Coturnix japonica: one gene and its partners. The protein of the gene in region 6 purifies or fractionates together with the protein of the main gene of each other region. This does not show direct contact. Links are inferred from orthologs where the notes say so. Each region holds a gene or a part of one and is shown on either strand. Other genes may lie near its edges.

The links.
Region 1: the proteins of RB1 (region 6) and ARID4A purify together in Homo sapiens (affinity purification with western blotting; 3 studies listed by BioGRID). This does not show direct contact. The link is inferred for Coturnix japonica from reciprocal best matches to the Homo sapiens genes RB1 and ARID4A.
Region 2: the proteins of RB1 (region 6) and E2F4 purify together in Homo sapiens (affinity purification with western blotting; 10 studies listed by BioGRID and IntAct, with this or other methods). This does not show direct contact. The link is inferred for Coturnix japonica from reciprocal best matches to the Homo sapiens genes RB1 and E2F4.
Region 3: the proteins of RB1 (region 6) and HDAC3 purify together in Homo sapiens (affinity purification with western blotting; 3 studies listed by BioGRID). This does not show direct contact. The link is inferred for Coturnix japonica from reciprocal best matches to the Homo sapiens genes RB1 and HDAC3.
Region 4: the proteins of RB1 (region 6) and E2F3 purify together in Homo sapiens (affinity purification with western blotting; 9 studies listed by BioGRID and IntAct, with this or other methods). This does not show direct contact. The link is inferred for Coturnix japonica from reciprocal best matches to the Homo sapiens genes RB1 and E2F3.
Region 5: the proteins of RB1 (region 6) and TFDP2 purify together in Homo sapiens (affinity purification with mass spectrometry; 4 studies listed by BioGRID and IntAct, counting the BioPlex papers as one, with this or other methods). This does not show direct contact. The link is inferred for Coturnix japonica from reciprocal best matches to the Homo sapiens genes RB1 and TFDP2.
Region 7: the proteins of RB1 (region 6) and KDM5A purify together in Homo sapiens (affinity purification with western blotting; 4 studies listed by BioGRID and IntAct, with this or other methods). This does not show direct contact. The link is inferred for Coturnix japonica from reciprocal best matches to the Homo sapiens genes RB1 and KDM5A.

The regions. Positions count from the first base shown.
Region 1 is NC_029520.1:50,214,287-50,218,573, reverse strand, and holds part of ARID4A (AT-rich interactive domain-containing protein 4A), read left to right. Parts: intron 1-1,097; coding exon 1,098-1,326; intron 1,327-2,268; coding exon 2,269-2,519; intron 2,520-4,207; coding exon 4,208-4,287.
Region 2 is NC_029526.1:1,548,235-1,552,521, reverse strand, and holds part of E2F4 (transcription factor E2F4), read left to right. Parts: intron 1-1,648; coding exon 1,649-1,710; intron 1,711-1,931; coding exon 1,932-2,217; intron 2,218-2,410; coding exon 2,411-2,602; intron 2,603-3,366; coding exon 3,367-3,414; intron 3,415-4,287. UniProt on the Homo sapiens protein: Transcription activator that binds DNA cooperatively with DP proteins through the E2 recognition site, 5'-TTTC[CG]CGC-3' found in the promoter region of a number of genes whose products are involved in cell cycle regulation or in DNA replication.
Region 3 is NC_029528.1:14,737,116-14,741,402, reverse strand, and holds part of HDAC3 (histone deacetylase 3), read right to left. Parts: intron 2,376-4,287; exon of another isoform or gene 2,356-2,375; intron 1,986-2,355; coding exon 1,843-1,985; intron 635-1,842; coding exon 553-634; intron 1-552. UniProt on the Homo sapiens protein: Histone deacetylase that catalyzes the deacetylation of lysine residues on the N-terminal part of the core histones (H2A, H2B, H3 and H4), and some other non-histone substrates.
Region 4 is NC_029517.1:69,383,752-69,388,038, reverse strand, and holds part of E2F3 (transcription factor E2F3), read right to left. Parts: intron 3,688-4,287; coding exon 3,573-3,687; intron 878-3,572; coding exon 742-877; intron 1-741.
Region 5 is NC_029524.1:8,785,353-8,790,070, forward strand, and holds the start of TFDP2 (transcription factor Dp-2), read right to left. Parts: upstream 3,202-4,718; 5' UTR 3,027-3,201; intron 1-3,026. UniProt on the Homo sapiens protein: Can stimulate E2F-dependent transcription.
Region 6 is NC_029516.1:151,039,218-151,043,504, reverse strand, and holds part of RB1 (retinoblastoma-associated protein), read right to left. Parts: intron 4,092-4,287; coding exon 3,975-4,091; intron 3,681-3,974; coding exon 3,624-3,680; intron 3,542-3,623; coding exon 3,510-3,541; intron 3,432-3,509; coding exon 3,355-3,431; intron 3,177-3,354; coding exon 2,974-3,176; intron 1-2,973. UniProt on the Homo sapiens protein: Tumor suppressor that is a key regulator of the G1/S transition of the cell cycle. The hypophosphorylated form binds transcription regulators of the E2F family, preventing transcription of E2F-responsive genes.
Region 7 is NC_029516.1:52,350,005-52,354,291, reverse strand, and holds part of KDM5A (lysine-specific demethylase 5A), read right to left. Parts: intron 3,536-4,287; coding exon 3,373-3,535; intron 2,606-3,372; coding exon 2,486-2,605; intron 1,568-2,485; coding exon 1,373-1,567; intron 1,258-1,372; coding exon 1,076-1,257; intron 807-1,075; coding exon 682-806; intron 468-681; coding exon 317-467; intron 1-316. UniProt on the Homo sapiens protein: Histone demethylase that specifically demethylates 'Lys-4' of histone H3, thereby playing a central role in histone code. Does not demethylate histone H3 'Lys-9', H3 'Lys-27', H3 'Lys-36', H3 'Lys-79' or H4 'Lys-20'.

The DNA of each region.
Region 1 (4,287 bases), on a different chromosome or scaffold from region 6:
GACTCTTTCCAAGAGATCCCTGTCTGTTTGTACTGGGAGCCCAGAACTGGACACAATATTCCAGATAGAGCCTCACCAGGGCAGAGTAGAGGGGAGGATCACTCCTTCGACCTGCTGGACACGCTCTTTTTAATACACACCCAGTATGCCATTGGCTTTTTTGGCTACAAGGCACAATCTGCTGGCTCATGGTTAATCTGTCGTCCACCAGGACGCCCAGGTCCCTCTCAGCAGAGCTTCCTCTCCAGCAGCTCTTCCCCAGCCTGTATGCATGCAATATTTCTAGCCAGGTGCAAGACTCTACACTTGCTTTTGTTAAACCTCATCCGTTTTTTCCTGCCCAGCTCTCCAGCCTGTCCAGGTCTCGCTGAATGGCAGCACAGCCTTCAGTGTCATCAGCAAACTTGCTGAGGGTGGTCACTATCCCCTCATCAAGGTCGTTGATGAAGATGTTGAACAAGACCGACCAGCACGACCCGGGGGACGCCGCATGTTACAGGCCTCCAGCAGACACCGCACCGCAACGACAACCCTGCACTCTGACAGTCAGCCTCTCACCCACTCACGCCACCTCATCTAATCCCATACTTCCTCGCTGTTATAAAGGATGTCATGGGGGACAGTATCAAAAGCCTTACTGAAATCAAGGTGGACTACATCTACCGCCCTCCCCCTGTCCACCCAGCTAGTGACATCTTCATAAAAGGCCACCAGGTTGGTCGAGCACGACCTACCCTTGGTGAACCCATGCTGAGTACTCATGATAACCTCCTTATCACCCAGTTGTCTGGAGATGGCATCCAGCACAAGCTGTTCCATCACCTTCCCTGTTTTAATACTGTTCTTAGGCTGCAATGTCACGAGTTCTTATTTGAAGAGGGATGACGTTAAAATTGTGGGAAGCACCTGTGTGTGTGTGCTGACTTGTCTTTTTTGCTGCTTGACTTCTTGTTTGGAGTTGTTTTATTTCAGAAACTGCTTTTTTTTCTTCCTAAAGTTACTGTGCTTCCCTATGAACAGGAAAATAGGTTTTTTGCACTTGGATAAAGAAAAATAAAAGCTGAAATGTAGATGAAACTCTTGCTTCTTTTATACAGGTATCTTTATGGTTTTGAAGAGTACTGCCGTTCTGCAAACATTCAGTTTAGGACCATTCATCACAATGAACCAAAAGTGGTAGAAGACATACAGAAACACGAGGAACCAATGGAGGAGAGTGTGAAAGAGGAGCAAAAAATGCCTCCAACAGAAGTCAAAAAAGAAGCAGAAGAAAACTATTCCAGCAGTGAGAGCGAAAAAGAAGAAATAGAACTAAGATCCCCGAGGGTAAGTAGTTCAGACTGATTTCTATTTAGTACTTAAAACCCCTTTGTATACTGAACAGTTTACATAATGAGTTTTCCCTTGTGCAGCAACTGTACATTTGAATTAGCACTCTTATAGGACAGCATTCAGTGAACAGGAGTTGGTGTTCAGCTGTTAATTGTGTTTTGATTATTCATTTTGTAAACCTTCCACAGGGTTTGCTAAGCCTGTGTTGGTTATCAGTTGTGTTTCTGTTTGGGGGTGGTTAGAGAGCTGTATGACAGCAGAACACTGTGAACAAGCAGGGTAGTCCTGGTTATGGGTGAGAACTTGCACTTGCATGTGGAGCCTGGAGCTTTGTGTCAAGCAGGCATATCAGGGGACTGCTGAAGCACTAAGAATCAAAGGAGGACCTGTTTTTTTACCACAGAAAGAGTTGATTCTTAGCACAGTATTTCTTCATAATGTACTTAAAAGGTTCAAGTCACTATGCAGTGTCCCTGTCAAAGATACTTTCATAGTAACACGGTAAGCCTGTACTAGAGCCCCAAGAATCAGTCGAGGAAAGTCCTAAACAGCAGTTTGTCCCACTGCTGAAAATACCTTTTAAACATTCAGTATTTCTAAAGCTGACAGATGAATCCTGTGAATTCAACAGGTAGCTACTGGGACTGGAGGCACTAAAAGGAAGGTGCCACGTCTCAGTCCAATATGAGCACTTCAGCAGTATTGCTGTTGTTGTCAGGGACAGCAGACCTTACAGGCATCTTGGAATTCTCCCAACCTCATCTTCTTTATTCCTGTTGATAACAAAACTACTTAAGTTAATCTATTAAGATTTTAGAATATTTTGCTCTTTGGTGTTAGTTCCAGCTTTTCTTCCATCCAGACGTAGTGTATTTGGGGGGCCTATACTGAGAACAAGTGACAGTAGATTTTAATCAGGTTTTATTTCTGTTCTAGGGACGAAGACGGCTTGCCCGTGATGCAACCCCTGCTAAAAAAGATAGTGAAGATGATAAAACACAAGATAAATTGAAAGACAACAACAAGGAAAACAAAGATATAGAGGAAAGCCTTGAGAATGCAGAAAAGAAAGAAAACGAAACTCTACTAGGGAGGAAAAGTACACCAAAGCAAAAAGAGAAAAAGATTAAAAAGCAGGAGGAGTCTGATAAAGAGTCAGATGAAGATGAGGAGAGGCAGAGGGAGAGGTAAGCGTTAATTTGTGTCACCTCAGAAGTGTATCTTTGTCAGCACAGAGCATGTTCCAAGCAAGATTATCCTCAGACTTTGGAGGTCTGACTGGTTTCTACAGTGTGAAAATCAGAAACCTCATTTGCTCAGCTGGAAAGGGAAAGGAAAATGCTATTTTGGGCTTGTAGAGTTTATTGTACCTTAAGGTATTGCCTTTTTTTGGTAGACATGGCAAGCAGTATTTTTAATTTCCATCTTCTTGATGGTCTTGCCAAGGTCTTGTTTTATCACACTCCTATATAGGCAACAAGTAAGACAGGGCTGTTGTATGGATGGTGAGCAACTGGGCAGTTGAAATACAAAACAGCCTCTCTGTTGTTAGTGATAGCTGGTGAATGTACAATTCACTTGTTTTCATGGGTACTTTTAATGTATCATTGGTAGGCAGAATTTCAGCTAAGGAAGCAAAGGAGAGGAAAAGAGGAAGTTTGAATGAAATGTGAAGACAGGTTGAAAACTACTGGATAGTGAGATGTAGAAAGGGCAAACTGACTGAAGAGTGGTATCTTCCAAGGGAAAACACTGTCCAGAAACAAAGTCTGACAAGTTGAAGTGGGTTTGGTCAGAAGCAGGCTGTCACCAGGTGTCTTACCTTGTTGCCAGAGTAGGCCTCTTCTTCGCTATCCCTGGCTGTGGTATGGAACAGTATCTTAGTTGTTTAAGCTGGCCTTCCTGCCTTGTTTTCAATGTGGCTGAGTTGTGTGGGACACAGCTGATACTGGATAAAGCCTGGTAGAGCTGTTTCATGTTTTAAAGGGGTTTGAGGAGTGGGAGCACACACAGTTAACTTTAAAGAAATCATCACTGTGCAACCCAAAGAGAAATCTTTCAACAGACCATAGTAGGTAAAAAGGGGGTGCAGTGTGGGTGGGTGAGAGGTTGCAGAGTTATGTCAAGTGATGAGGGCATCAAAGACAGTTTTCTTTTATGTAATGCAGGTGGTGCTCATCATCTTCATTTTTATTCTGTTTGCCACAGCAGAATAGTTCATCTGACCCTGAAGGCTGGTGAATGCGTATTATTAAAAGTAAACTTGTAGTCTTTCAGGATTGCCTCTGCTGCTGACTCTTTGTAGCTTAACATTCTTCTAAGTTCTTCCTAACAGCAGGTTATGATTGTTGGAATTATAGTTAGATATTGTGTTTTAAGGTTGGATTTTGCTAATAAGATGTAGGTATAGACAGAAGAGCTGTGTAGACACTTCTTATCTTGGTTAAAACTATGGTAATCAATATTTGTTTCATTGGAATGGTGTTTATATCCTGGAGGGAATCGCTGCACTCTAAACTTTCATATGCTGTTAATAAATTTTAAGCTGTTAAGCAACATGCAGAAGGAAGAGATTATTATTTACAGCAGTGTGTCAAAAGCAATTATATTTTAAAAACTGAAGTTAGTTTTTCCTGTCTTAATTAGAAGCCGAACACTGAGTTTGATTTATTCCTCTGTCTGAGTTATCTAAATTTTCATTAAAATCCTAAGCCTGCAGAGTTGTGTTCAGTCTGGCTCCAGTGGCAGGGCGTGATGCAGCAAATGAACTTGTTTTGTTGCAGTCTTTTTTGCTTTGGTAGTAGCTTGGCTGTGCTATTTAAATGTTAAAGCTTTGTCACTAATTAGTGGATATTTAAAATACATTTTACTGCAGGGAGGAGATTGAGAACAAAGGAGAATCAGAAGGTGAAGAGGATGAGGAGGATACAGAACCCTGCCTGACTGGAACCAAAG
Region 2 (4,287 bases), on a different chromosome or scaffold from region 6:
CAGAAGGGAATGTGCTTCTTGTTGTGACTTCACATCCTTGAGGGGCAAAAGTGGCAAAAAAGCTGCAGGAGTCTGTTTCCTCTCTGTTGGCAATTGCACTGATAGCTGCAGGGCCAGAAATACCCCAGTGCAGTTTGGCAGCCTTCTCAGCTGTAGCAGCGTGGATTCAGAGCTGCTTTCTGCTTCAGTGAATGCCTGCCCTCTCCTGACCCTCTGCAACCTACATCTGCTTGCTTGCCTCAGAGAGTTCAATGGGGAAGCTGCTTATCCTGCCCACCCCAGCTGTGCATAATCTCACCCTCATCTGACTGCTCACCTCTTCCAAGCTGTCTCATCATCAGCTCTTCCGTTTCTCATCTTTCCTTTCTTGCACTGTCCTCCTTGTTCACCAGACTTTATCCTGCTTGAGTTCCTGCTTTACTGTTTCTTCTGGTTTAAGGTCAGGCTTCTTGGGGACGGGGGTTGTGTTTTCAGTTTGACAGTGCTTGGGGCCAGATAGTTTGTAACAGCCTGTGGGAGCTTCCTGGAGACCAGCAGACAGATTATTGCTTGGTTCATTGAGCAGTTTGCATTTTATTGCACCTGTTTTTCTTCCTAAAAGAGTTTGCTTCTGAACTCAGACCACACCAAAAACCTTAGTTGTTAGTGACCAAAAGGAAGTGGAAACACACTGTGCACCGACTGTCTTGTGAAAACATTTGGGACTCAGCTATCAAGAGAGATAGAAAGGCAGTGCCTGTGATGTTGAGGCCGTTGGGTCTTTAAGTTTAAGCTTTCTTTGGGCTTTATTATGCCTTTTTAACATCATTTAACAATATTTTCCTTAAGTGTAGATTTGTTAAAGGACTCCCATCTCCTCCACAAATCTTGTGCTTCTAATCCCTGCACTTTTGCTGAGCTGACCTTTTGTTACCTGTCTGTAATAGAAGGATGTGCTGTTCTGCTGTCTGCTCTGTGGATCGTAGGGAAGATGATCAGTCCTTCACGCAGGATGTTGGTGAAGCGTGGACACAAACCACACTAAAGTTTAAATATTCAAACTGAAAGCTGCTAACTGCTCGGTCTTTATATGCCTGCTTTTACAGCACTGGTATTTCCCCCATTCATGTTTCTCGTGTTAAATATAAACCTGGATGCAGATTGGGAGCAGCTCATCTGGGTTTGTTGTGTTCTGCAGGACTTGGAAAGGAGATGGTGCTGTCAGCCTGGCTCTCTGTGTCTCTGTGCAGGGGCCAACACAGCCAGCACCAGGCAGCTCTTGCTGATAGAGGCAAGGGAACATCGGCTTCAGGTGTTGGTCCACGTGAGGCTGCTGTGCTGTCTCTGCTGGCAGGGCAGCTCTTCCAGCTGTGTGCCATCCTATTCACAATTCAGACTGGGGAAGATGAATGAGTTCTGTGGAGGAATCGGCTGGAAAAATGCTTGACTTTTCTCGGAAGGGTTGCTTGGAAAGAAGTTTTGCAGGTTCTTTATGCCCTCAGGGTTGGTACGTTCAGAGCTCCACAATCTGCTTAGCAGCTTGAGTGGGTGTAAATGGCAGTCCTCCAAAAGAGGGAAAGCTGTGTGGACTTTGAGAAGTGCCAGGGGCTCTTTGTCAGCATTGGAACAGCCTGTGCCCTGTGAGTGCCGACCTGCTCTGTTTTCACAGGAGACACCCTCCTTGCAATTCGAGCCCCTTCAGGCACACGCTTAGAGGTTCCCATCCCTGAGGTGAGTGATAAGTGCGTGGATAGAGAGCAGCTGTGTGCTATGGGGGAGTGCTGCTGCACTGAGCAGGCTGGGAGTTGGGAAGGAGTTGGTGGTTGTGGTTTTGATGGAGTTGGAGGAACTTGGAACTCAAGGAAGGCTCTGACTGTTAAATAGTTGCCAAGATGATCTGTTTGGAAAGAGCTCTTAATGTACATCTGTGTTTTGCTTCTGACTTTTCTCAGGGCCCGAGTAGGCAGAAGAAATATCAGATCCATCTGAAGAGCACCAGTGGGCCAATTGATGTTCTCTTAGTAAACAAGGATGCTTGGAGCTCTCCTCCAGTGGTGCTACCCGTCCCACCCCCTGAAGACCTCATCCAGTGCCAGGCAGTTGCACCCTCAAAACCACAGATCCCTCCGCTTGCCCACTTCCAGGAGGCATCTGTTCCCAGCAGCACCCAGCCCTCAACGCCAACACCTTCCAGCACTCAGGATCACAGCCCTCCTGAGCAGAAACACACGAACACAGGTGAGAGGGAGGTTGCAGAGAGCAGAAATGGGATGGTTGCCGACCAATAGGGCAGTACAAACCTGGTCATACAGCACTGTCAGCTCCTGGCAAAGGGAGCACCTCTGTGCTTGCTGCACCGAGCCTTTGCTTTCATCTTAGTGGGACTGGATGTGCTAATGGAAATACTGTGTGTGTCTGTGGCTCCTTCCAGAATGCAGCATCTCAGTGCTGGAGTCCAAGAGCAGCAGTGACCTCGATCCCCTCAGCAATGTGTCTGCACCCAGCAGCCATACAGCCAGGCTGGACACGCAGCTGCTGCAGTCCTCTGCCTCACTGGACAGCAGCTCTGTCCTACCCAGCCCCTCTGCCTCCTTTGAGCCAATCAAACCTGATCCTGAAGGAAGTGAGTATGCACCCTTGGTTTGTTTGTCTCTCCAGATTGTGCCACTGGGAGCGAGGGAGGGGCTGCTGGCTCCAGGGGGACGAGCTGAACTCTGTCAGCCAGACCACATGAGCAGTGAACAGGCATTTCTTTGGGGGGAGAAACCACAGCAGTGTGTGGGTGCTGGGGAACCTGGTGTGGAGATGACAGTGTCACATCTAGTGCCGTGTCACTACCTGTGATGCTAGGCTCAGAAAAGCCACAAGGGATGCTCACGTGATGCATCTGTGCTGTTCTAGGTAGGATTATTCTCTTTCAGCCCCTTTTGTAGTGCTAGGTCTGAGTTTTGAGACTGTGAAGCCTTCACTGACATCACTCTTGTAACTTGTTCGGTTATTAGGAGAGCTCTACTCTCTGTTTTTCTCCTTTACTCAGAAGTACTTCTTCTATCTGTAGCAATCTTGTGGTCTTATTGTCTTCCAGTATGTGTCTGGGAAGCTTCCTGCTGTGCTTGTTGAGGTGCAATGGGCTTTAAATGAGGAAGTGTTAGCTTCAGACTGGGAAATGGCAGGCTGGTCCACAGACAGAAGAGCATCCTCTGGATAAGACACTGTGCTTTAATGCTTCGAAGCTTACCTTCCATGCAGAAGTACTTAAAGTTAATGTGTTAGAAGGGGATGGTGCATAAGGACTGAGAGGATAGCAGGGCAGCGGCTGATGAAGCTGTATAGTATTTCAGATGCTGCATTTAACAAAGTCAATCATTTGGTTTGTTATATTCACAGTGCTGGAGCTTCCCAAAGAGCTGTCAGAGATGTTTGATCCAACGAGAGGTACGTTCACACCCTGATCACAGATGAGAGCTTTTCAGGCCCTGTGCCAGCACTAATCTGTGTTCTGCCTTCCCACACTCCTCTTCCAACTTGCCTGCATCATCTAGAGCCACCAGCAAAACCCCTGTTAGTCTTGTTTCAACTGCAGCGTGCCACTGTGGATTTCTCTCTGCAGTAATGCATGCTGTTTTATGGACTATTCCTCCTGCTTTGGAGGGGTGAAGTTCAGATCCAGGAGTGAAAGCTGTGAAGGATTTTGCTTGTTTTACCCTCATCTACTGAAGAAGGTCTAAAAATATAGGTTCTGTATTTTACTGCTATTTATTTTAGCTCATATTATTCCTCTCTGGTTACCTCTAGTTGAAATCCTCTCATCTCACAGCATGGAACTAGGCAGGGTACATTCCTGTTCTTTAGGAAATGGCCTGCAGTGCATCAGCATCTTGAGGACGGGCTCATCTGAGTTTGTTCTGTGGAAGATCACTTCACTTGTGGGTGATGAGGGCCTGGCCAGGCTGATTGAGATCATCACTGTTTAACTTGGTGAAGTGAGAGAGGGAATCAGAAGGTTGTTTCCAAACACTTCGCTTCTAAAAGGGGAAAGATCCGCTTGCACACGCTTGGCCTGGCTGCTTGCCTGCCAACCTTTCAAGTGCTTCGTGGTCCTGTTGGCCAAGTTCAACATCACTGGAGGAAGGAACGATGTTTCAGAGATAATTTCTGCTTGTAGCCTTGTGTGGGCAGTGGAGCAGAGAGCAGTTAATGGCCCATTAGGGAAGGATATACAGAGCTCAGATGTTTGCTGGTGGGCAGCTGGCCAACCTCCCATGGCATATCACAGCTGTGGAGTGAAGGGATCCAATGAGGAGGGAC
Region 3 (4,287 bases), on a different chromosome or scaffold from region 6:
GGGGCAGATCAGCCTGGAGAAGAGGATGTTTGGGACAGAACTCATCACTCTATACAGCTACTTGAAAGGAGGATGCAGCAAGGAGATAACAGTCTCTTTTCTCAGGTAACAAGTGATAGGATGTGAGGAAACAGCCTCAAGTTGCACCAGGGGAGGTTTAGATTGGATATCAGGAAGAATTTATTCACAGAAAGAGTGGTCAGGTAGGGAGCAGGCTGCCCTGGGAGGCAGGGGAGTTTCCATTCCTAGAGATATTGAAAAGACTTGTGGATGTGGAGCTTAAGGATTTAGTTTAGTGGTAGACTTGCATTGTTAGGTGAACAGTTGGACTTGATAATCTCAGAAGTCTCTTCCAAGTTAACTGAGTTTATAATTTTGTCATTGTAATGACATAGGAATGGTCTTAACCTTTACAGTCATATAGTGGAAAGAATTTACACTGCAAAAAAGCATAGTTTGCTACATTATTATACTAAACACATTCATGTCATTGAACTGATAGCCAGTTGTTTCCTACCAGTGTTTCAAAGACAAGCCCATCAGCTCTGTTACCTTGTTGTTCAGCTGCGTTGCTCCCTGCAAGGAGGCCCCAGTGTAGCGAGAGCAAAACTCAAAGAGCCCTGGAAACACTGGGCTGAAAAAGAAAAAAAGAAGTCATGATTCAAACAAAGGACATCTTCTTATTCCTCCACACGCCTCCCAAGCAAAGCCAGTCCTGAGAGCTCTCCTCTGCCACAACACACCAGCATCTGTCTTGCAGCCCTGCTGATGTGTGTCCAGAGCTGGGATATGACTTGGGAAGGAGGACAGGTCTGCCCCATGCTATCTTCCTTTATCAGCATTGAGAAGACCCTGCCCATTCCCCTTCCCAACTCACAGCACAGGATGCAATATACAGTAAGTGGATGTGAATGCAGCTCTTACAGCAGAGCTGAGGCAGGACCAAACCCACCATGCAGAGCCAATAAATGCACCAGGATCTCTAAGAGGGTATAGAAACAGAAGATGTGGTGCCCATGTGCCACTAACTCACAAGTATCACATCACAAACATTATACGTGGACAAATAATAGCTTAGAGACTTTTATTTCCCCCCCTGTATTCTTGTAAGTGGTTTCTGATCAAAGTAATGTTGCACAACAGCCTTCTGATTCCCAGTCTAAATATTAAAAACCCGGCTATCCCAATACCTTACTGGGATAACACTGTTCTTTATCTAATGTCACTCCTCTCACATTAGTACTTACAGCTTTCCCTTCCAAAGAATAGAAAAGAACAGTCTTATTCTCTGACAGCCATTACTTTCCTCAGACAAGGCATACTGTGCACTTCCTCGATCACATACAGCCCTTCTACACACTTCTGTCAAGGTTTGCCTCTCACAGATGTGAAAGACTGGAACTGAATATTTGTAACAAGCTCTCATGTGAATATAGAAGCATTAAACTCTCCTCAGTTCTACCTGAAAATCAGGCTCTCAGAGCTACCTTGCACTTAACATGCACATATTAAGGTAGCTAAAATAGGCAACAGTTTAAAAAAATAGATATATAATATTTTCAAGAAGAACAGGAGGTTCTGCAAGAACAAGCGGAGTCACAGTCTCTAACATAACCAGTTTAGGATGTAAATGCAGATCTAAAAGGAGGATGATAAGATATGAAGAGAAGGGGAAGGAATTGAGGAGGTTGCAATAATCTGCTATGCTCAAGAAGGGCATGCACCTCATTCTGCTTAAAAAATAAGAACCAGTACACACTACAATAGTTCTCCAGACACAAACAGTGCAAGATCACAGCAGCATTTCCACCCCCAGGTTCACAGGAGGCACAGAGCACTCACCAGTCATCGCCCACATTGAAGGCATTGAGGCTTTTGGTGAAGCCCTGCATGTTGTTGGGACTCACTCTCTGCAGGAAGTCTATGTAGTCCTCGGAGTGGAATCTGCACATGTCATGCTGCGATGCCTGGTATGGCTTGAAAACCTTCAAGAGAAAGACAAGACTTACATGCTGTCCAAAGCTGTGTTTGCTTTGACTGTAAGAAACCTCAGGCTGACAAATGACCCACACAAAGTGTATCTAAAAGTGTTCCAGTACACCAGCTTCCTGATATTCACGTTCATTGACATGCAACATTCCATAAAGCCTGTTTCCCAACAGATTCCTATCTTTTAGCCATAACTGCAACTCCAGTCCTTCATAATAACTGCAGCTTCTCCTATACACTCTCTGATCCCTTTTTTCCAACACTATCCCCCCTCGCTTTGGTTGGACAAATGGCAAACCAGCAAAAATAAAAGGCAGTCGAATCCAAACTTCAGCTCTGTCCTCATGGGGAGCACTACTGCCTCACCAGTCACAACATCCTGATGTAATGGAGGTTCCAACCCTCCATCACAGCCGCCTCCAGGGGCTGGTAAGTTCAGACATTCATTTGAAGAAGGTTCTTAGGCAGATGGAACATTTGCATAAGCTTTGTTTCCTTTGGAAAGTCAGCTAAAAACAGTCACGTGGCCGGATGGATTCGAACTAAAGTTCTCATGACAACACACATTTGCCAGTTTGGCACTTAACACGCATACCTCAATAAACAGGAAGTTAAAAATCAACACCACATACCCAAAAAGGGGAAATTAAAGCTACACTGAAAGCAGTAACAAAATCTTCCATCTTTCAAAGCTTGTCTTAATTAAAGCACACTCTCCAGAGGGAGAACATGCTGGGGCAGCTCCCACAGCGCACCTCCCTTGGGCCAGGCAGGACCCTGGATACTTTTCAGAAGTAAAATACAACCTAACAAACATGACATCTCCTTTACTGTGCAACTGTACTGCTCAGCATGAGGCACGGTGCTTTCAATGTGAATGTGTGGAGCTCTGCTCCTCAGAGGCTGCTGCCTGAGACAGCTGGAGCCAGGAGGGTGGGACCAGCAGGTGGGGCTGGACCCCCACAAGGACTATCAGGAATCCTGATGACTGATCACCTCAAGACCACAGTGTCACAGAAAAGAAGAGACACTCACAGGACATTAAGAGGTGCTCTTGGATAAAAAACAACCAGGGGGAGCAGAAAGGAGGGATGAAAAACAACAAAAAAAGACAACATCAAAAGCTTCCAGACCTACTTGCTGTTGGTAAAAGTGGAAAGCTGCCTCTTTTCCCCTCATCTTGCCCTTCACTCACTGCAGCCATAACCCCAGGCACCTCCCTGAGCATGCCTGGCACTCAGCCCCTCGCTCAGCCAGCTCAGCACAAAGCTCTCCTGGTTTTGCTGAGTGACCGAGTTCCATCTGTTCCCACAGGATCCAGCAGCTTCCAAATGCAGCATAGGAAAGGCAGCAGGAACACACAGCAGAAAAAGCAGGGAATCATAGAATCACTCAGGTTGGAAAAGACCTAAAAGATCATCAAGTCCAACCACAGCCTAACCATAGTACCCTAACTCCAACAACCCTCCGCTAAATTGAGGCAGAGAAAAAGCCTCAGAGTGTGGAAGGAGAAAAAAGAGCAGGTTTTGCTGGGGCAGGAGATGGGGACAAGAAAATCAAAGGAAGGGAAAGGCCACATGGCAGGGTGGGTGGCAAGGACCAGGAGTTCCACTGGGAAGAGAGAGCTGATATTAAAGGGGGATAGAGCATCCCCTCCAGCCTGCATTCCATCACTGTGCCAAACAGGGATTGGCTTCCCAGTGACTGGCCAAAGAAGTCAGCATACACCAGTGTGAGGATGGACCCTGCATAGGGCTCAACTCTCAGCAGCTGCTGATTAATACACCTGCAAAAGCTCCTACAATGGCAGCAGAAAAATCCAAAGGATGCGATGTTACTGAACACCAAACTGCAGGAGTAACACTGAATGCACAAGGGAGCTTTTTTAATACTTCATCATTCTGAATTAATTGCAGATCTTGCATCACGGAGCAGTTTCACCGGCCCATTTTAGCATCTCCTTTTTAAAAATTGATGCCGTGTGTTCATTTTGGGACAGCTCATTTTCTATTTCCTCCCACTCAATCCCCAGGTCTCTCACCACAGAGTGCTCTGGCAGTGGAACAGCTTGAACTTGAGCCCACGCCAAATGCCAGGCACTCAGAGCGCTAAAAGATCATGTCAAAATGGTGTGGCACGTTTAAAGAAGCTGAGATCCAGTTTTCCTGCTTGCATTAATTTGTCTGCTCACACTTTGCTACCCTGCCTGCAAGAATTTTGCACCTTGTCCTGCAGACACCACGCCAGAGCAAGATGTGCCAGAATCAACACCACTGCTCTCCCGTGCTCACAGTAACA
Region 4 (4,287 bases), on a different chromosome or scaffold from region 6:
GGAGAAGGGGAGAAAAAATAAAGATGATACACTGAATGCCATGAGAACTATTAGACCTGGATAACATAAAGTAACAACTGCATATAAGCCCATCATAAAACATCATTTAAGCAAAAAAAATTCCTCGAGATCAGATAATTTGTAGCCTATTTTTGACATCTTAACAAAGGGCTTCTCAGAAAAAATCTCAGGTTTCTATCAGCACTGATTTTTTTCCAGTTAAAAAACAAAATAAAAAATCCAAGATCTCAACAACTACTGAATAAGATGCATGAAGGATGACTTTCTTTGTTAGAGGAGCTCACAAACCTGAAGTACTCCCAAGTGCAACCCTTCTATGCAACAGATGTCATCAGTGACACTGTGCAGCTTTATATACCAATACACAGAAATCTTTGGCTGGTGTTGAGAATGATCTCTGCTGCAGCCACCCTGTTTCAAAACATTGTAGGAACAATTCTTCTTTTTCCCCAATGTGTCACATACTTTGCTTACATAGCTCCATATCATATGCAAATACAACTCTTATTTTTAAACTCCTGTCAGAGAGAGGAAATGTTTTCCCCTGAATATACATTGGAGGAACATAGTGGATAATGGGTACCTCAGCTTGCCACTTCTTTGAAAATTAAAGCCAAAAAATAAAAGCTGTGTAGCAGAAGTAAAAACAAATAAACAAATAAATAAATCTTGTATAAAGCATGAAGGAAGACTTTTAGTATTAGAAAGTAATCATTTTACCTTTGGAAATGGTTTTGGAAATGTTTCCATTGTGGTCCTGACTATAGGTTTTCATTGGACTGAGAGCATCGTTTTCCTCTGGGCACAGATAAACTTCAATAGGTCCTTGAGTACTAGATAAATGTATCAGTGCACTCTGGTAACAGAACAAACGTGGGTAAGATGTTACAGCAATGAAGACCACAGAACACTGAGACTCACAGTAAGTTCTTAAGGGGGTACAAGTAACAAAAGGTTTGAATGTGTTTTTTTACTAATCAAAACAATGCGAAGTTCAACATACAGCTGTGACGACACGAAAGGCTTCTAAGATTTGTGCACTAACCCAAAAAAAAGAGAAGTCCATCGTGTGTTGCATCATAACCAGAGAGTTATAAAGGACTGAACTCCTAACAATTTCCAATGCCCACAATAACCAGGAGTATTCTGGTGGAACAGAACTACGGTATCCAAGTCATTATTTCTAACACTGATATTGGATGTATCTGTGTAAACACTTCTGCTTCAAAAAGGTGTCAGAACAACCTTTAATAAAAGAAAATCTTTGGTACTGATTCACACTGAAATCAAACAGCTGAAAGTTCACCCGTTTGCTGGGGGATGCTTTTCCAAACAACAACAAAAGCATTTTCATCAATAAAGCCTGTTTAGAAATGCACTTCTGCTCCCCCCTCAAAGAAGCAAAGGAAGCAACTCTAGTTTTAAAGATGCTCCCAACAGCAGGATCTCTTAATTCATTTCAACTAGTTTTCTTAGCTTTCACACACTGATGCAATAAAGCGAAGTGGTATATTGCAGACAGACAGAACATCTCCAAAGTTGTTCATAGTGTCACGAGGAAAAAATAATAAATGCCTCTAGTTAAACATAAGCCTGCTCTGGCTGTATTACATTAATAGAGTTAAAAACAAAAACAAACATGAATTCAGATGTTGTATGCTTCTTGGCAGGTTTAATTAAAATGCATTTGATTGTGTACTTTGACAAAATGTTCTTCATGTTATTTATGCTTTGGCAGTTATATGGCACTGTAGGCAGCATTTCAGATACAGAGAACGAGAACAAGAACCTCAGGGCACAGATAACAGCTAGGAATACTTAGAGTGATGCTGTATGTAATTAGAGAGCAGGAGTTGGAGAACATACAGTTGGGTGACTGAGGTATGCAAAAAAAAGTCACTGAAATATAACTGCAAATGAAAGAAATAAATAGGACTCCTACTGCCTAAAAAAAGTTAAATGAGTGAGCTATATAGGATAAGGGAGTGAGGGTATATAGGATAAGAGAGGTCTGGGTACTACTTTTAATCATGGTGTGCCTCTCTCTTTACCTGTCTGATTTCACTCAAAAATGTAAGTGTAATGCTTAGGGGAAAGAAACAGAATTCTTTACATATACAGATAGATACTGATAAAAGATACCCCTTCCTCTCTGTAGCAATTTCTTTTTCTTCCCAAACCTACATCTGCATTCAATGAGGAAGTTAAGGACAGTGAAAGGAAAAAAGAATAAGATGGAAACCACAATGAGCCTACACAAGTGAAGAAGAACCTTGGTAAGAGAAGTGACAGCATGGAGTCTGTTACTGCCTGCCCAGGAGCAGGTAGCTCTGGGATAATGGAATCAGCGCAGTGATGGTGACAAAGGAATAACACAGGGGAACGTACACAGCACAGAGGATTTTGTGCTTTAGCCTCATCTCTAAATGCTCTCCAAGTGAAGAAATAAGATGTTTTTTGACTCTCTAAAGCTGTGGCACACGTAGAGCATTTACATTTGCCCAACATACATGGGTCTGCCATGTTAACTGGGAGCTGTAAAGCAGCACACTTTTGCCACCAAAAGCTAAAATCCCAGGAGCAGCTAAATCTTGTGGCTCATAAGACATGAGAAACGATGTGAAGCTGCTCCCTGTGGATATTTTCAAAGCAAAGCCACCAGAAGCATTTTTCACTGTAACTGTAATGTCAGAGAAAGGAAGTGAGAAGTGACTAATTCACCTGGATATCTACCTGAAATAAAAAACAAAGTGAGGAAAATAGAATGAGAGCCGGACATCCTATAGACAAAAGCTGGCACTGAGAGACAGACTGTGGCCTAAGCACTGTGGCCTAAGCAGCAAGAGGCAAAAGAGGAGAGATAGAGATGAACATGGGCAGCTTCTGAAGTCTTTAAATAGAAAAGGGAACCTCCAACCTCTACACATTTTACAGTAATAAAAAAAAGTGTGCTAGCAGAATGTAAGACATTCTACATAGATGTGTTAATATATATTTCAATAGAGAGGATGATGGAAGAAGGAGAAGTCAGAAAAGATTCTAGGAATGAAACACAAGCTTCAGCAATAGCTTTATTAGTTCAGAGAATCCTACATGAAAACATGTTTCTCTTCTAAATAGGATATCAGTAATACAAGACAGTGAGATGTTTAAGACTTTAATTTATCCCTGAACTAAAAGACTAAAACTACTTAAAGCTAGAAAAATAATAGTCAAAAGTCTTAAGGGAAAGGTTTTACAGGAATGTTCAACCACTGAAGAAGAACCCATTATTTACATAGAGAACGGCAAAAGAGAATAAGTTGTAAATAGCATTGATTACTCTGAAGGGAAGTCTGGAACTAAGAGAAGAAGATCGAATAAAGATTACTTTGTGTAAAATTATTGTTTAAGATTCACCTTTTTTAAAAAACACCTGAAGTTTTTGAGACAGATGATTACAGAATTGTATGCCAACAGGATTCAACTTGGGCACAGTTTTTACAGTAAAGCATGGTGTACACTTACTCCATGTATAGAATAATGAACAGAATAACCCACGTTCTCCTTACCTCCACTGGGTCAGGCACTTCAAGTCTTGTTTCTGGAGGAGCTTTCACAACTATAACAGTTTGGTCTTTAAGGCCACTAATTTTTCGAATATCTTGGTATGTCACATAAGCTAATGTAATCACATTAAGGAATTTTCCAACCCAGATTACAATATGTTTAGGCTATTAGAAGAGGTAACATTTTTTGAACTGCTTTTCCACCTTCTCACAGCTTTCTTACTCTGAGCCCCAGGTTTCCTGTCCTCTGCACTGGTTGCAAAACAAGTGTGAGAGAACTTTCATCTAACACAAAAAGCACAAAAAAAAAAAAAAACAAGCAAAGTTTTGGCCCTACCTAAACACAAGGAAAAAGAAAACATCTTCAGAAGCAGAGACTCTGTCTGTCAAGGTTAAGCGCCATTAAGCAATCCCATGGCTTCAATTATATAAGCTAAAGATGGCACAGAGGTACAATCAGATCCATCCTCAGGTTTAGCATTTTTGCTTCCCTTCCTCACTAATTGCTAGTATCATTGGCAAACTTAAGAGTAACAGAAGGATTCCGGGGACTACATTCTCCTACATGCTAATGCCCATGGCGATCTTTCCTCACACAGCTGCTGGCTCCCCAGAGGATGAAGTGAAGGGGTCTCTACCCAGTCACTGCTTGAAAAAATAGGGAATCATATTTTAGGGAAGGGAAGGGGAAGAATCATATTTTAGGGAAGTCCCTCAT
Region 5 (4,718 bases), on a different chromosome or scaffold from region 6:
TGGATGCTACAAAAAGACAAAGAATCAGAACAGGCAGCTGTTGTAAAACCAACATTCCACTGCTGTATCTGCTCCTTTCTGCACTGCTTCCAAGCATACAGAAGCATGTGCTGAGTTCTTCAAGCCCCACAACAGACATTCACACCATTGGTTTCCATGTCCTATGCACACTGGTTCTGTGCATTGCTCTCCTCTGAACACCTGTCAATTGTGAGCCTGTCTCATTGGCTCCAGTGGCTTTTTGGTTCTGTACACACAACCACCTCCACAAGCACATTTCCTGCACCAGGCCAGACAACTGCCAGCTTATTTTCCCTATTTTACAACCCGCTGTTGGTTCATTAGTAGTTGTGTCCTACGAATACAATTGGAAAAGTAAATGAGAAATTCTTACTCGTTACACCTCCAAGTATGTGCAGAAAAAGCACACAAAGAAAGAAACCTCAGCTTACTGAACCTGCCCGGTACGGGCTGCAGTTTCCCTCCCCTGACCCGGTCAGCTCATTTCAGAGATGAGCACCATGCTCTCCCCAACGCACAGCGAGTTTTGCTGACTTCAAATGACCAACATCACGTGTTCCTGAAGGGGATGGAAAGCTGGAACCACAGTTCCTACTTCTTGCTAAACCCAGTGGAAGGTGCTAAAATACAAAGCCTTATCTTCACTTGGTGGTTGCTCACAGGCAGCTCCAGATGTATAGGAGGCTCCTGCAATACTGTCCAATACACACAAGAACAGGAACAAACCAGGAGTCCTCCTGCAGCAGGAACAGCCCTGCTGTGCTGCTCAGCCTGCTCCTTCACATGGCAGAGCTGTGCTGAGCTGCTGCACACAAGGCACAGCCTCACCACTCTGTGAAGTGAGCCGACCCACTGGAACCCACTAGAGGAACAGCGGCCTTCCCATCAGTGCCGTATGATTTCAGCAACGCTAATTCTATCAACCTCACGCAGGTCAAACAGCTTCTTTTGGTTCTGTTAGCACAGTGATTTCTGTGCAAGCAGGAAGCGGTTACAAGAAGCCCCAACAGCTTGTCTGTAAAATGTGATCAGTCTAACACACAGCCATGAGGTAAACCTACCAATATCTAACAATTAACCACCTTTTCCTCTGTACAGAACTGAACCATTCTCAGAGCCATTACTCTTAGCTCTTCCAGAGGCACCAGGCTCACTGCACAACCATTTCCCAACAAGAATTTATGCTTTTTCTCCCTCTCCTCACCATTTATTTGATGTATGTTCATTTCTGCGACGTGAACTTAAGCTTCCACGTTTCTTTGAAGTGCTGCATCAGGTGCCCAGCAGGTTACTGCAAACACAGGCTCTCAAAATGCAGAATTTGGCTATGTACAAAAATGCCTCCATGCAATACAGAGCACCAGCAAAAACGTCCCGAGATGCTGTTCCACCTCTGTGCTCCAGCAGCAGCCACGGGTCTGCCCCGTGTGAGCACATCACTGCACTCATGGACAAGGTAAAAAGTGCTACAATCAGGAAAACAAGCCTTAATGCAGGCAAAGAAATGGCAAAGCTGTTACTCGTTTCTCTTCTAGTAGCATCAATTTATACAGTCTCTGCCTCTCTCTATGTATATGTTCTGGCTTTTTTTTAATACAAGATCACATCTAGTCGAGATGTGTGCAGTAGATGTGTACAGTACCACAAAAGCAGCTCTGGTTCTGACCTCATTTCTACTGCCTTACAGTACAACTGTGCAGCTGAAAGAAACCAACAGCGAGGAATATTAACAAAGACCCGTGAAAATAACCGAACCCATTTCCAAAATAAAAACACCGGTCGCGTAACCATCGCATCTGAATTTCCCACCCGCCGTGTTGAAGAGTGAGCAAGTCAGTGGGCGCCGCTCCGCACAGACGCGACCACCCGCTTTGTGTCCGCTCACAGCACGGCGGGGCAGGAGGCACAAGGAGCGGAGCAGCACGTGAGGGCGGCACGGAACGGAACGGAACGGCAAAGCACAGCAATGCACGACGCAGCAATGCACGGCACGGCACAGCAATGCACGACGCAGCAATGCACGGCACGGCACGGCACAGCACGGCACGGCACGGCACAGCACAGCAATACACAGCACAGTAATGCACGGCACAGCAATGCACGGCACAGCAATGCACGGCACGGCACAGCACAGCAATACACAGCACAGTAATGCACGGCACAGCAATGCACGGCACAGCAATGCACGGCACAGCAATGCACGGCACAGCAATGCACGGCACAGCAATGCACGGCACGGCACAGCACAGCAATACACAGCACAGTAATGCACGGCACAGCACGGCGCTCCGCAGCCCGTTGCCAGCCCCGCGCTGCGGTTTTCTCCCCCGTTCGGAGTTAGCTCCCTTACGAGCTGTTTTCTTCCCTTTGTCTGCACACCCGGATCCGATCCGCCGCACTCACCCCGCCATTCGCCTCCGCCTTGAAGCCCGTGCGGCCTACGGCGTGCAGGGCAGGCCCTGAGCCCTCAGCCCTCAGCCCTGATCCGGCGGGGCGCGGCGAGCGGCGCTTCCAACTTTTGTCGTGGCGGCCTCGGCGCGTCCCCGGGCACCGCGCGCACCACAACGACCCCCCACAACAACCCCCCCACTCCGCCCCGCCGCCATCGGCACCGCGGCCCGGCCGCTCACACCGGCCCGTCACCGAGAGGCCCCGCGGCACCCTGCGCCGTGTCACGTACCGGCGGAGCCCCAAACACAGCCGGGAGAGCGCGCGGCCAACGCAGGTGTCAGGTCAGCGGCCGCACCGGCACAGACACACACACACACACACACTCACACACCCCGCCTCACGCAGTCACACCCAGGCCGTGGTGCGGTGCAGGCCCTGTCCTTCTCGAGGCGCGTTTGAAGCGCAATCCCCGGCCCGAATGAAGGCGCTGCTGTCCCGGCGGGATCCCGACGCGTGTCTCTCAGGCCCGGGCGGGAGAAGGGAACGAACGCGGCAGCGCCACCGGACCCGGGCGGCGACGCTGAGGCGCCGAGACGCGCCGTCCGCTCACTTACCGGCCGCGGTTCCGCTCCACACGCCGCCGCCTGGCGAGGAGCCCCGCAGCTCGGCCCGGCAGGGACAGGCCGCGAGTCCCGCTCCGTGGCGCCGCGATCGCTGCGCGGCTGCTCCGGCCCGATCCCGCCGCGCTCTGCCCGGCTCCTTCTCCCCCGCACAAGCTTGGCGGCGTCTGCCGGCCGGCCGCTCCCATTGGCCGCCGCCTCGCGCGAGGTCGGGCGCCCTCGGCGCACCATTGGCCGCGCCTGGTGTGTGTACACACGCCGCCAGCCAATCCGAGGAGGCCGCTGCGAGAGGGGGCGGGGCGGAAGGGCGGGGCGCCTCTTCCCAGGCGGCGCCTCAGATGCGTGTGGAGCCGCGACACGGCGGGAACGGGACGGAGCGAGCGGGGCGGGGAGCGGAACGGAGTGCAGGGAAACACAGCACAGCTGGGTGTTACTGATGGACAGGGACGGCAGGGAACAGCCATCGGCACCAGAACAGGGTCCTGAGCTAAGGAGCGAGAGCCGGATGGTTATTGCCGTGGGACGGCTCACAGGCGGTTATTAATCACAGGCCCAGGAATGTGCTGACCGTGCGCTTTCTGTTCTTTATCATTCCCTACGAAACAGTCACACGTAACAAGACCTTTATCAATACCTGCAGTTACGTAAGAAGCTTAAACGAAAGCATTAATAAACCATATGCAAAATGGAGCATTCCCTCACATAGCTGCCAAGGCCCCAAGCAGCTCACAGTCAACACAGCAGGCCGTGCAACGCAGCAGGCCGTGCTGCGGGAAAGGAAGGCAGCAGAACAGAAGCCAGGCAGAGTGCCTGGTTTCCTGCAGTCCTCCTAAGTTCCATGTGCTAAACCCAGATCTGAACTCAAATACTGCCTCAATAAAAAGTCATGTGTGTCTTTAAAACTTCTTTCTAGTTCATTTGGTTATTTTTATGCAGTGCTTACAAAGTTATGTCAGATGCTGTGATTACAAGAAAAAGGCATTTAACCATTGTGGAAAGGAGATGGACGGTGACTGCTGTAGCTGGCATTGGCTTTCAGTGCCTGCAGAACGAGCTGCCTTTGTATGCACACACTGCTCAGCTTGGAGATGCTGAAATGGTCAGTTTGCAGTAAGCACCACTTGTGCATGGTTCTAAACCAACCTGTTACTCCTCAGAACTTAGACACAGCCCAAACTCAGTCTCAGAAGGAGATCCACACTGAACACTGCTGTAACAGGTTCCTTAGCTCTGCAGGGAGTCAGTGATTTCCTGCAGTAAGACCCACACTTCGGAAGCTCTGACGCTGCTCTCTGGTTGGTGGCTCAGCACAACACCGTGTTCCCCATCTGGTTGATACTTTCCAGATCATCTCCCCTTTTCCTTTTCATAACACGTTACTTTGCACTGTTTGCTCATTTCAATGCTTTGTGAGCCCACAACCCATGCTGTAATATCAACACACACCCATAACCCCCACAGCCCACATTTCTCCTGAAGAATGAGCTCAACTTGTCCGTCTCGCTGTAAAACCTCAAACTAAAATGTGGCCCAACCTCTGGGTTGACATACTCCGACCTGCAGTTTGTCTGAAGAGGAAGCGACATCTTTGCCTGTACCTCTGGGTCTGGAACGGTAAGAGAGAAAAAACACAACAAAAAGAACGTTTAAAAAACCTATCCTTATTTCATGCCCCACTGACTGGCA
Region 6 (4,287 bases):
TCTCATAGGAAACAGACCAACCATTCCAAGGTTTAAAATGTACTTATATCATCAATAAGGTGAAAATGAATCAAGGGGTACAGACACCTTTATTTTTGAGTCTGAAGTAATTTTAGGCCCTTTAAATCAAGTTACCAAATGTAAGTAGCACCCTAAATACTTCAATGAGATGAGGTACAAATGCTTTACAGTTAAATATACAGATAGTACGGTATACTTTATGAATAAAAAATATGTAGCAAATTGGTCTGAATATAATCTGCATCTGGAAGCAGCACAAATTCATTTGTGGATAACTTCTACTGGGATAAAAGGGGCTTCTAACTTCAGGGTTCATTTAAGATCTAAAGAAAATGCCATACTTTCTGCATGACTTAGTGTCAACATTTGCCCCTTTTCAGAATTAAGTATTATTGGGAAGAGTTTTCCATATTTTTCCACTATTTGGGGGTGGGGTTTTTTGGTTTGTTGTTTTTATGATTTCTTTTTTCCTTAATGGAAAAGAGCTGTTTGATCTCCTTCCTCATGTACAGACAACTAAATCAACTAGCAATGCAAAAAGCAATAAGCGTATTCATGATGACTAGCAAAGAAGCAATGTATTATCTTCAGTCTTTCACGTTTACTGCATATAGCTTCCAGTGTCAGATAAGGGTTAGATGAGCTCTTTAGATGAGTTTATCTTCAGAGAAATTATGTAAAGCATTCTTATGAAAACTCTCAAAACAAGTAAAACTACAATAAAATCAGCTATTCTCCCTTCAATTTCCCCATCCCTTCAAATTTCACATTATAGTCTTGCTTCCAAAAGCAGTCAGCAGAAGGAAGAAAAACTGGATTAACACAGACGATACACTTGACTTCCCAAGAGCAGACAAACCTCCTAATGAACCATTCTGCCTGCAATCACTTGTAAGACATGCATTATAACTAAGCATAAGTTACCTACCCATTCTGCTCCCTTATAGCATCTGGAGATAAGAGACATTTACAAAGTACACATCTCAACTTACATACCCTTTACTGAGGAAATTACTAATTAAGATTATACTTTTTTCATCTTGCACATCAGTACATGGAGACAGCATCCAGAGAATAAACCACAGAGGAATACAATAAATCACCCACTCATTCACTAGCTCAATCTTTTGAGGAAATCCAAAGCCTTTAGCAGACTTCTACCACTGAAATACTTCCTCCTTTTGCTTAACTGTTACCCTCGGGCCCTGTCGCTGTCACACAGAGCAGAGTTCAGCGCTGCCCCTCTGCTCCCTGTGAGGAGCTGCAGCCACCATCAGGCCTCCATCAGCTCCTCTGCTCTGTGCTGAGCACACCAAGGGACCTCAGCAGCCCCTCAGACCACTTGCCCTCCATACCCTTCACCATCTTTATAGCCGTCCTTTGGACACTAATTTCTTACAAACCCAAACTGCACCCGAGTACTTGAGGTAGTCTAAATCTAAATGTTAATTAACCAGCTAGCCTTAACAACATAGTAACTGTCAGTTATGTAAGTTATTTACTGTAATAGTAATTCTAGAGGGAAGGGAGGACCTCCTATGAGGAGGCCACAGAGTCACAGGGTAACTGTGGAGAGTAACAGTCCAGTTGCAGCCAGCACATAGCTGGCTGTCAGCACGTTACCCTCCATTTTTGAGAGCCCTGCTGTGCCCTCTAGTGATGAGCCTGCCTGTATCAAGGAGGAGGATGTTGGCTTAGCTGTGTTTTAAGTACAGGCCAAGCATTATATAAGAAGGGAACAAAGTAAGTGCTTTTGCAATTCTACAGATACCTACTGACAGCCTCTGAAATAAGCTGCATAAGCCACTCCAAGACAGTGCCAAACACCTCAGGCAACTCAAGACAACAGATTCAATACTGAAAACACTGTGTTTTGGATTCTCCAGTCTGAAAGCCCAAATCTGAATCAGATTATCTGCATGTTGTGCTTGGATTACTGAGTAGAAATTGGTAGATTAAAGCCTTCCTGCTCATGATTAAGCTGGAATCAAACCAGTCTGCATGAGGTGTCAGAAGCCATTTTCTGCTTGTGGAGAGTAAAATTTAAGTATTTGTATCTCTGTCATTACCCTCCAAGCATTAAAATTCTCAAATAAGCAAAGCATTCTTTAAACATTTTGAGCAAAGTTCTTCATCTTCTCTGCTACTATAAGCTCTGGTACAAAGCTCTCAATCTTCAAGTGCTTTCAGGCAGTCTTTTTCAAAGAAATTCTATGCATTCAGCAGCAGAGAGGCATGTGCATCTCACCAAGATCTAACCAAAATCATATACAAACTTGGTTCACAGTAGAATATCATATTAGTTATGCCATATAATGTTCTTTAAATTTCCCAGATCTACAAGATATCATATGGGTTCTTAAATGGTCACTTCATGTCATTCTGTCAGCAGCCTTTATAGTCTCCTGTTTTGTACCATTAATAGCATTTTTGGTACATAACTAATACACAGTATAAAGAAACAGCTGTTGACTTACGAAGATTCACCCTGAAACACAAAACCCAACCTGCCAGAATGCTTTTGATGCCATTCAAAAAAGTTGAAGGAATTTCAGTGCAAGTTACAATGAGAATTGGGATTTTAAATACTATTAACAATCACATCAGATGCACAATGCCTTACAGTCAAGCAGGACTAAAAACCAGATGAAGTTTAGAGATAAGTGCATAGAATGTACTGCCTTGTCTACTGGCACCAAAATACTGTGTATGGGCATTACTACTCTTAATATCCATGCCAGACTATTGAAAGATGCTGGCACATAATTCAGCAGTGCTAAGCTGATCTCTCTCTTTCTTCCCAAAACCTGAAGACACACTAAAGATCTTCTTTAGCTCTTTGCCAGAAACACATCTCAGCAAGACTTCAACTTCTTTTATATATCTAGGTGTATTTTTTTCTAGATTTGCATGTTATACAAGGACAAATAACTGCTTTAAAACATTACTTACAGATTGCCAAGCAAGAGATTCCATAATGCGATGTTCACAGCGTTCTAGATGCTTTATCATGTCCCTTGTTAGGCTTGGCTCCACTTTAATGAAACTTTCAATCACCTTGTAGAAGTCGAAAGCTTTTAAATCAAATACATTGAGAATCCACGGGAAAGACAAGTCTGTTTCGGTACTGGTACCATCACTTTGTGAAGCAGTTCCTGTAAGGGAAGCAGATTACGATTACCAAGAGCATTACATTCTTTCACTTCTCACATGTTTGGTATTTATTAAATCATTGCTAGTTTCCTTGCTATTTACTGCATTTTACATATTAGAATAAATAGCAATAATTCGCAATCACTAACAGTGCTCCTTAGCACTTTGGATTCAACTTACTGCCATATGTAGCCATGACAATTTCAAGAGCACACGCCAGAAGAGATGTGTGGAAGATGTTATCATTCAGAAGTTTGCTAAAGGGAAAACGAAATCATTAATACTTATCCCAAAAATAAAATAACAGGTAATAATGATCAGTGGTTGGTACGTACCTAAAATTGTGCACTGAGAGACGCTCTTCTTCCTGAGGTATATAAATGAAGCTTTGATTATTTTCAGCCATCAAAAATGCAATGCCAGTACACAGCTATCAGTACGAAACTTACCGACTTCAGCATAGACTCCATTACTCTGTAATACAGCCGTACTCCAAGCTGGTATCTCTATTAGAAAGGAGGGAAAAAAAAAAAAAAAAAAAAAAAAAGAAAGAAAAAAAATTAAGAATCCTATGTTTTTTGGCTTGCTTTTTTGTTTTTGCTTGCATTAGTATTAGCATAGCATTAACAAGAACCACTTGTTAATGCTATCTTTACAGAGCATTAAAAGAAAAGCATATCCATTCCTTGAAAAGATTAGTACTTTCTATTGTTAATCTGCACTGAAGACAAAGTAGTAAGTCAGGTCACACATTAGCTAGCATCAAGTTTATAACAAGTAATAATCAAAATGCTACTTACCTGTGAGCCAATCTCAGCACATCCCTGCCCAACTGCTTCAGCAAATTTCTTTTTGAAGATGTGTCCAAGGCTTTCCACTCTTTTCAGGATACTGTCTTCAGGGTTCACTGTGCAGTTCTAGTCAAGTACAGAAAAGAGGAGAGGGAAAGGAAAGGCAAGGAAAGTATTTTATTTCCAAACACCTCAATTAGTCCTGCTTGACCTTGTAGCATCTCTCTTAGTCACCTCATCAGCATAAATCAAAGTGGAGTATTTAAGGTATCATATATAATATTAGATTTATACATATATATATGCACATACATAATATAGA
Region 7 (4,287 bases), about 99 Mb from region 6:
TCTTTTCTTACAACTCTCCCATACATTCAAACAAATGCCTGATCAAAAATCAAACAATTTTTCCTAAGGATTTCACATTTCAGTACATGAGACAGCTCAGAACAGTACATTTAATGCAATTCCAAGTCTGTTTTTTGGGCCTTTGCTATAACTGTATGTCTTCTCAGTCTCCCAATAAGTCAACAGCACTAAAGGCAAACACCAGAAGTAATTAGTAGACAGTGAGAACTCGGTTTTCTTACATTTCCAGGTCCTACCAAGTAACAAAATTGATAAAAGCTGTAGAAAAGTAAGTAAATAAATCAATCTGTCCTACCTGTGTTTTTGTTTTTTGCTCAGAAGCAGCTGTGCTACAGAAGCACAGGTCTCTGCTTCTTTCACAGCATCTCTAAGCTTACGGAAGAGATCATTTTCTGGATATTTCCTGTCTTCAGCATCTTCCAACATCACTCTGAGCTCAATTACATCTGTAATAACAGCATATAGTATGAATGTAGAAACAAAATACATTTTAGACTGCTTCCCAACCCTTACATCAAGGTTCCAACAGGCTAGTTTAATTTCAAATGCACAAAGATGAGTTTCTCATTCATTTTTTTCACTAAACACAGAGATTTGTCTCACTAAATCAGAAAAAGTAGGATGCCTTTCAACTCCTGCAACAAAGAATGGAAGTCTAACCTTTTTTGTGGTTGAGGTTGGCAGACAGAGCCTCTGTAACTCTACTGACCCAAGTGTCATAAGACTGTGCTCTAACTTTCACTCCATACAGCAAAGATGGAAGGTCTTCTAGTGGGTACCGGTACCTGGAGATATGAGAGAAAAATAAAGCAAGAGTATTAATGCTTACACAACACCTTAGGATATTGCTTACTGTTGAGTTTTCCCAGTTAAAATAAGGTCAGGACAGAATATGTATAATAACCTCTACCTTGAACCCAAGAATCAAACAAAGAGGATAAAAGCACTCCTTAAATAAAGGAAGAGAAAAAGAGTGGCCAAATGTGATATTTGGCAATCAGTCTTCAAGACACTATTGATCTGGAAAGGGAAAAATAACTAACTACTGGCATACCTTAAACACTTGTTCTGCATGGGGCACGGACATAAATCAGATGGGTGGTATAGGCAGACCAAGCGCTCAGGATTACAGGAACACGTAAGAGCTGACAAGAAGCACGTTGTTCTGCAAGCTGTGCACTGACGTTCATCATCTGGAACCAATTCAAACACCTCTTCTTCAGACATTAACACTCCCTTTAAAAAGAAAATTGGACACCTGTTAAAAACTCTAGTCCAGGTGAAGCAGAGAGGAAAGGGGAGAGGAGCAAAATTTCTTTTGAGAGTAAAAGAGTTATCTTTCATTACTTACCATCTGTACAACAGTTTCCCTTAAGCGTGTTTCTTCCTCTATCATTAGTGTCATCTCCTTGCAGACCATGGCAGCCAGCCCAACATCCAAGCACTCCGGATCTGCAGCCATCTTAAAGATCAGTTCTTCATGGGAGAAAACGCAATGACGCCCAAGCCTTCGGTAGTGACTCACACACTGACGTCCAATTGGAAGCTACAAAAATCATTGTCATTAATCATTTAGAGACAAAACATTTTGAGACAATCTCTCACCACCCACTTTCCTTCACAAAATCCAGGGAAAGACAGAATGAAAAACAGAAAGATGTATTATGGGAAAGAGGTGAGACACACTGCCATCTAGAAATAACTACGTTTGGACTGAAGTTAACCAAAGCCAGTATCAATCATTTTGTGTCTTCTAAAGCACAAAAAGAAAGCATGACTCGACCAATTTCCTATGCACTTCTGGGTTACATTTTGCCTAGTGTCAGAATAGGAGTTTTCACGTGGGCTACACACAGAATATGTCATAAGCATAGAAGAAAAAAAAAAAATCTGACAAGTCCACAGACAATTTACCTAATAAATGAAGAAATTCTGGATGTTAAACTACAGATGAGATCCTATCTTATAACCATAAACTCTGAATAGTGCTAAGGAACACTTTTAACAACTTAGTGAGGAATCCATATAGGTTATGTTCTGGTGAGTCATGTCTATTAGAATATGGACTAACACGATTAAAAAAATGCAATGATATGACACAAAAGGACAAGAGTTCTATGCCTACCTCTAAATTCAAATGACAACAGCTGTTCAAAGCAGTACAATAATCTATATGAAATCCAGGAAGACGCATTAGAGAAAAACTAGCAGAAGAACTGCAAGATCAATATTTGAAAAGGAAGACCACATGTGAAAGCTTCATTTTGAAGCTGTTTAAAATTGTGTGGACACCAAAATCATTTTCAGCAATGGAAATTAACAACAGTCTTGCAGTTGTTCCAGGAACTACAAACATAAAACACACTGTGAGGCATAGAAGATCACACCAGATAAGAAATAACTAACGCTCTCCTTGAAAAGGTCACCTAGTGGAGACATAGAAAACATATACAAAAGAGCAGACCCAGTCAGCAGTGCAGAAGTTCACAGCTTCAGCAAAGTTGTATCCCTGGTTAAATCCAGAGTGGTAGGCACGAGGGAAGGTCACAACAAACTCGCCAGCACACTGATTGGTTCTGTACACCTAATGCAAGTGAAAAGAAAGGATGGTGGGGGGGAGAAAAAAAGGCACTGAAAGACTTGCAACGCAATTCGAATGTACTGAACATCACTTGCATTACCTATACAACACTGTAGTCAACATATCTAAGTAATAAGGTTTGATTCTTTCTCTTTAAAACAAATCCTCAGTTTATAGTGTTAATTCAAAAAAAGTAAGAGCTAGATATCTAATCCAGCAGTTTAAAATTCTCTTCATGAATTCCAAAAAAGGATCATTGACTATCATTATTTAATCCACCACAACCCGTAAAAGCTTCTAGAAGCAGTTTGTGGTTTGCTTTGCCAGACTGTTTGTCCAAGAAGCAATTTATCCTAACACAAAAAGCAATTCACAGTGACTGCTGCGTAAAGGTCTGCTGTCAGTAATGCTTGGTCAAAACAGTTTGCAAAGCTGAAACTTCTATAAAACATCAGTGTTTGACTGTCAAAATATATTAAAACTAATCTACGGGCAAATACAGTAGAAGGGTTTTATCCATTAAAATGAACTGTAGCACCACATTCATTTATTCTACAAGACATTTTAAGTAAGAAGTTTGGCACACCCTCTTTCTGATACAAGATAATTGAATTTCATGGTGAAGCTCAAAAAGGATTCAAAAAATAGGCTTTAACGCCACCTTGTAACTAATGTACTAGAGATGTAGAGGTCCACCATATAAATTCTCCAGTTACACAAATCTGGCACAAAATGAAACTGAGTGGATAAAACGCTCATGTACTACTCACTGGTACACCATGTTCCATCAGCACATTGGGGTTCATGATAGTGACCAACTGATGAAGGAGATCAGGCTGGGATTCAAATAGCTCAGGAGCCAGCTCCTTCATCACATCTTCCAGTTGCTCTGCTGCATGAGAGGGCACACCATACCACGTCTTTGGCTCTCCCCTAACAAAAAAAAGACCATAAAAACAAGTGCATTACTTGAGGGAAAAAAAAGATGGCACCCAACTGCAAAGTACATGAACAGTGATGTTTAAAGTATAAGCCAGATATTTTTTGTGTGTAGACACAAAAACATCTTTAACAGAAATAGACTGTGGTACTCATCCACTCAATCAACCTTGGAGAAATCTTATGTCTAAAACAAAAGGCATGTTATACCACATAAGCAGAAGTGAAAATGGTCAAATGCCAAAGTGATAATCAATCCTTCTAATACACATAACCAGATACTGAAAACCAGTAGTTCACTGGATTCCAAAGACAGAAGATACCTAACCACATGTATTATGTGAACACAGAAAAAAAGTGACAAACAGGACAATAACAGAGAACAACTTCAGAACATATTATTTTAGTCCTTCCAGTCTTAACCAAAGTGAGCTATAATGTAGTGATCTAGAACATATAGTACAGAGGGTTGCATTTTATTTAAGTACAAGTAATAGTCTGCCAAAATATATGAATCAATTTACTTGCTACGTTTCAATATTAATTACCTCAACATTACTAAACAGCCCAAAAGTTAGATAAGGAATAATGCAATGTTCTCTATGATTCCTACAGGCTTTAGTGACACCTACTGGTAAGACAGAACTAGCAAGCCCCAGGAAATACTGCTGTTTCTGTCTGAGCTGCTGGAATTCACCAGCAGACACAAGACCATCACATATTGACCCAGTCAACAGAATGATGAG